2 linked regions of the Kluyveromyces lactis genome follow. The protein of the gene in region 1 interacts with the protein of each later gene in a pairwise test. Links are inferred from orthologs where the notes say so. Each region holds a gene or a part of one and is shown in the gene's direction. Other genes may lie near its edges.

Region 1 (3,264 bases):
TCACCAGAAGAATCCAACAAATTCACATTCAAGATATGGCCCTCACCTCTATTATTTTGCCACTTCTTCAAATCACCTTTGAAAGAAACTCTGGCCTTTATGGTCCAGTTGTTCTGATATGGAGAAATTTGTTCAATGGCAAAAATAGGCCTTGAATTTTGGGATGACCCATTATTCGATTTTGCCTTGGGCACAGAACGTGGTTGTGGGGCTGGAATGTTGCTGGTACTGGTAGGAGCCATCTTAGAAGTCATAGACGATGTAGCAGACGCAGCTGCCGATGCAGCCTCGGATGCTACGGCCCCGTTATCAGTCAAAGTCACCAACTCATTCATATGTTCACCCAAATAAGCATCGACAAATTCTGTAGCATTATTAAACAAATCTAACCCACGGCTAACAATCTCTATCTCATCTACTAACAACACAAACTTCTTCTTCTCTTTGATCACTGCGCATTCCGCGTTCAACACTTTGAAAACATCCCCTCTTTCTAATTCTGCCTGTTGAGCCGCCTCTGCAGCTTTGTTCCTCAAAAGAGCCTTGACATGGTATTTTCCATCGTTGATGAGAATCAAATTCTTTTTAGCATTAGTCTCAGTCTTCTTGGTTTGAACAACCTGGTAAATACCGCCGGTAGGATTGTTGTACCTCTCCGGAATACGGAAAATATCCAATAAATCACCTTCCAATAGTTGAACACCCATCTTCTTCTACCTATTTTAAAGACAAATAGCAGAACAAATCCGTTACTTGACTCGACTTGGCCTGGGTTTCACCTGTAGCTAATCTATAACTGACCCTGAGATGGCGTTGTTTATTTACAGTTCGCCTTTATATACTCTGCGGAAATTCGAAAATTTTTCGTTGAACCAAAATAAAAGGGATAAAATCGAGGAAATTGCTTTCGCGTTTACGCGTCTTACACGTGAGTATCACATGACTATCTTTCAGGTGGTTATTCACGTGACTTTGGGTTTTTTGAGCATCAGGTACGTATTACCTTCATTGATGATGAACAACTTAAACACCAGCAGTGGATTTCTGATTTATGGATTTTGAGCAATAATGTCAGCAGGTTTCCTGTGGATATCAACTGTCCAAACAATTTGCCCGTTTTACTGTATACCTTCCTGTTATTTTCCCTTAGTTAAATATAATGAGAGTTGAGGAATGGAACATTTGCAGTGAGTTTGATGATATTCTTGATGATGTGAGAGGAGAAAAGGTTGCCAGCGATAAGATATGGGTATCCAGGAGCAGTGGTGAGCCATTATACGATTTGGAATTTGATGTACGGTTAGATTCCAGGGGTAATGTTGGGTTTCATAATGCGAATACTTCTGATAAAATTTCCTTTCAAAGGGTAAGGCCACATTTATATGAATTGACAGGACCTGATGCGACAGCAGGACATTTAGCTTCGTTTCAAAGTCCGAAAAAACGGTTCCAACTGCCTTCTGATATTGGAGCTGTTGATTTAACAAGTATAGATATCACGAACGTGTTTGACCCCGAGATACGTTTGGTTTGTGGTGATACGAATGGTGGCATATATGTGCTACGGAAGAACACCGGTACCAATTATAGCGGTCCATTACAAGAAGTGATAAAGTTACCGGAAGCGCACGCTAGTCACATCACCAAGACCCAATTTTTCCCTAACGGCCATGGATTCTTAAGCAGTAGTATCGATATGCGCTTGAAGATTTGGGATGCTTCAACCGGTACTGAGCTCAGAACTTTCATAGGTCATACTCGGTCAGTCAACGATTTTGCCATGGTCGATAGAGGTAGAAACTTCGTCTCTGCAAGTTCGGATGGATCATTAAAACTATGGGAATGCTCAACTTCAGCATGTGTCTTTACGCTCAATTCAAACGATGGCATAAATTGTATTTCATTGGCCAATTACCAGGGAAATCCAGCGACCACATCGTACAATGCATTGGACCATAGCAACGAATACAATACTGAGGGGAAAGCTGTATTTGCTGGACACGACTCTGGTATCATCACGTTTCATGATATCTATAACAGAAAGAAGATATTGGATATTTTACCGGCAAGTAAATCTGCATGTGTCACTCTAACGAGCCAGCACATTGCAGGTGATGACCATTACCTATTTGCTGGCTATTCGGATGGTACGATAGTATCATGGGATACTCGTAACGTTTCCAAACCGGTGGAGACGCTCCAGGTAAATGATAATGATTCTATCTCAAGATTATTCTTGGCACATAACACGTTGAACGTTTCTAGTGGGGTCCAATTTGCTTTCAATGTACCTGTTTTGGACGGGAAATTCAATTTCAATAAGCTTACACATCTAATTCGTCCTTATGATGAAGTGACTGATTTCTGTGTTGATGAATCACATCAAAATGTTTGGTGCGTCGGAAAAAATGGTATGCTATTGAAATACTGATTTGTCGTCCAGTCTAAAAGAGAAGCAATAGAATTGTAAATAGAATTATACCCATATATAGTCCAATAAATTATCCATACGTTGCTCTCATCAATGTGTATAGTAATATCTGCTTTGATATTGTATCCTTCTCTTTTAAACCTTTCTTACTGTGCATCTGAAGGCACCAAAAATCATCTTGAAATCTTAACATCAAAATGAAGAAGTTAACCTTCTACCTCTAAATATGATGATCATGAAACACCCAAGTAAGCCACCAAATCACCTTTGAAGGACGATATAGCACTATAATTTCCTACACGATGAGTAGAAGGATATCTGGTGCTAATGACCCTTTGCTAGACATGTTTTTCGATGATGATTTTGTACCTCAAGCATTCGTCGACATATTGTTATCATCTTTCCAGACAAGCCAATTAGAAGAATTGAAGACCAATTGCTCTAGTCTACTTTCAAAAATGGACTATTACAGTGGGCATATTACAAAAGAACTTGAGTCCACTATTCAGGTGCTTCAGAAGCCTGCTGAACTTATTATATACGCAGCAAATGAGGAACAGCAAGGAACAACAAAACTAGAGTATTATTTGGATACTCTAGCGAATAGTGTGAACTTATTAGAGACAGACGTTAAAGCTATTGATAAACAATTAGAAGAGCTGAATTCTAAATATGAAGACAGTAATGAGGTAACTGAAACCTTATCAAAGCTTACAGCAGCTAAAGAGCATCTGGTAACTGTTAAGAGATCATTTGATCTATTAAAGACCATAATGGATATTTCAATCCAAGATGATCAAGAAAAACTACAGCATATTTCGTTAGATGACTTT
Region 2 (2,859 bases), on another chromosome or scaffold:
TAGGGATTACAACTCGTCGTCATATTGTTTTGAATTTTGACTTTTACTATAAACAAGATACATACGAGATAAATAAGATACCTAACTCGTTGAATGTGAAGAATTGGTGTTAATTTATTGTTTCAGTTTTGCTCCTCTAGTTCTTTGATCTAGAATCGGTCACTGTATTCAATAGAAGAGCTTCATTATCTAGAATAACCTTGTTTGGAGATCTGGATAAGATAGAAGCAATTTCTCTAGCAGTATCTAATCTCTTCAATTCCACGTAATCTTTACTTTTCTTGATGGCTTCACCAATCAATTCAGCAGATTTGGCCTCACCTTGTGCCTTAACGATCATACCTTGCTTTTCTTGAGTGGCCTTATCCACGACGAAAGCAGCCTTTTGAGCGTCTTGTTGAGCAATTTGTTTGGCTTCAACAGAGTTTGTGAATTCCGGAGAGAAAGTCATGTAAGTGATGGAGACATCATCCAACATGATATTGAAATGCTTAGCACGACGCACCAAGTTTTCCCTAATCAATCTAGAGACACGTTCTCTTTGGGTAATCAATTGAGAAGCATTAAATTGGGCAACCACCGCCTTCAAAACTTCATTCACGATACTGGGAAGCACTCTTTCATCGTAATCAACACCGAGAGTACGGTAAATCATTGGTAAATTCTCTACGTTAGGTCTGGATAGCACTCTACAGGTGATGTTAACCATCTGTAAATCCTTAGTACCGGTCAATGACGATACATTTCTTGGCTTGGCACGCACATCGTAGACGACCGGGTTTTCAACCCATGGAATGATAAAATGAGTACCTTCTGGGTAAATTCTCGGTTGAACACCGTTGATACGTGAATAAACAATGGCACGGTGACCACCATCAACGTTGAAAAGAGCTTCGTTAGCCAAAAATCCACCACCAATCAACAAAAATAAACCACCTAAAGCCCCAAAGGCACCACGAGGAGGCTGTCCGGAAGGATATTTACCACCTGATTGTTGTGCACGAGCCAATTGTCTTTGTACAGATCTGGCAAACTTACCAAAATCACCTGGATATCTGTTCATTGCGTTCTTTTGATTAAATTATAATAACTTTGCGGGGGGTAAAAACACAGCTTTTGTTTCAAATTTACAGCCAATCAGAAAAGGGCAATGTGCGGTTATATATATAATATTACTGCTGCGATTGTCGTAACCTCCTAGTTCCTTTGCTTGAACCCTTTCCCTTTAAGCAATTTCAAACAACGAACTGAGTTGCTCATTTCTCACTTTGCCACTTAACATCTGAGAAGGGGCGACATCCCCGAAAATATGTTTGTCACAATGCACGGATCACGTGATAAAACATCAACACTCTAGCCTCTGCTCATGGTGGTATAGCCAGGCACCGGGAAGTTGAATGTTATCTGAGACCCATAAGTATCCTATTTAGTACTTAAAACCTGTCAGCTTTCCAAATGTGTACCCAGATTTCGTCCAGGTGTACCAAGTCTTTCCACTGCCGTTTCTTATTTCTTTGATATGAGGTAAAAACCCTTTAAAAAGGGTTTCAACTTAAAGACAGCTTATTTCATACAAGCGTTGGTTGGTCAGAACCATACAAGAGCTGTCCTGGGATCAGTGTATTTGTAAAACATTGAAAGCACAATAAACAATTCAAACTATGGGTGCTGACTTTTTGTTACATGCTGCGTGTATGAACGGAGATACCGAAAAGGTTCAACAGATATTAAGTGAGTTTCCGGGCGCAGTGAAGGTTAAAGATGATGATGGCCGATATCCTTTGCACTGGGCAGTATCATTCCAGCAAGACAACATAATTGATATATTGTTGTCCTATATGAAGAAAATTGATTTGGACACTATTTTGGATGAATCTGGTTGGTCTCCGGTACACATTGCTAGTTCTATCGGTAGCGTTACTATTCTTGAAAAGTTACTTAATCATACTGTTGAACCAAACCTTGATCTACAGGCTAATAATGGGATCACTGCTTTACATTTAGCTTGCTCTAAGAAGCATTTAAATGTGGTTCAACTTTTAGTGGAAAGAGGAGCTTCAGTGAGAATTAAAGATGGCCTTGGTCAATTGCCTTTGCATAGAGCTGCAGCTTCCGGTTCAGTGGGAATTGTGTCGATATTATGCGATAAAAACTCTCCTGTTAATATAAAGGATAAAAACGGATGGTCTCCTTTGTTCCATGCTTTGGCAGAAGGTCACGGCGATGTTGCTGTCACGTTGGTCAACAAGTATCATGCATTATGGGAAGGAGAAACCGACAACGATGACTTGTCCATAGATAAAATCTGTGTTGACGCAAAAGTGAAGGATTACTTTTTGTCAAAGGTTGAATGATTTATCCAATTCGAAGGGGCTGGTAGTTAATGTATGCTTATATACCTGAAACAGTCATTAAATTGAGCTTATAACGATTGATGTGTAGAAGATTCTAAAAAAACAAAATGCAAGATTAAATAAAATTGGCTTCCCTATCAGCAGTTTCGGAGTTTTCATGGATGACCAATTCTTCCTTATATTGAATACCATTAATACCAAGGTCACGTTGTTCATGTTCACTGATTGTTCCATTGGTAGAACCAATCAAAAATAAACCATGGCCAAGAACTTGATCAACCAACTGTAGGGTTATATCCAACAAATTTATAGGAAGGATCATTCCCAACAAGTTATTGTTGTTAGCAAAAATAACAGCATCCTTTATGGACATGGTACCTGGGTCACCATAAATAATGTCTTTAGTATCGAGTGCCATGGACGCTAGGTCATTAGATGTAATTTTCACCAAATCACCATCACTATTCTCGGAAATAACATTCATATCGAACAACACAGGGAAATT

What was found.
Region 2: the proteins of RPN14 (region 1) and NAS6 interact in binary tests that used the Saccharomyces cerevisiae proteins (3 or more experiments, as listed by UniProt). The link is inferred for Kluyveromyces lactis from reciprocal best matches to the Saccharomyces cerevisiae genes RPN14 and NAS6.

The regions. Positions count from the first base shown.
Region 1 is NC_006037.1:775,801-779,064, forward strand, and holds RPN14 (Rpn14p), read left to right. Parts: upstream 1-1,159; coding exon 1,160-2,431; downstream 2,432-3,264. Other genes in the region: replication factor A subunit protein RFA1, read right to left, coding at 1-707; Golgi transport complex subunit COG7, read left to right, coding at 2,734-3,264. UniProt on the Saccharomyces cerevisiae protein: Acts as a regulatory subunit of the 26 proteasome which is involved in the ATP-dependent degradation of ubiquitinated proteins.
Region 2 is NC_006041.1:1,405,997-1,408,855, reverse strand, and holds NAS6 (Nas6p), read left to right. Parts: upstream 1-1,661; coding exon 1,662-2,354; downstream 2,355-2,859. Other genes in the region: prohibitin subunit PHB2, read right to left, coding at 137-1,063; PHO81 (Pho81p), read right to left, coding at 2,470-2,859. UniProt on the Saccharomyces cerevisiae protein: Acts as a chaperone during the assembly of the 26S proteasome, specifically of the 19S regulatory complex (RC) and appears to have an overlapping role with RPN14.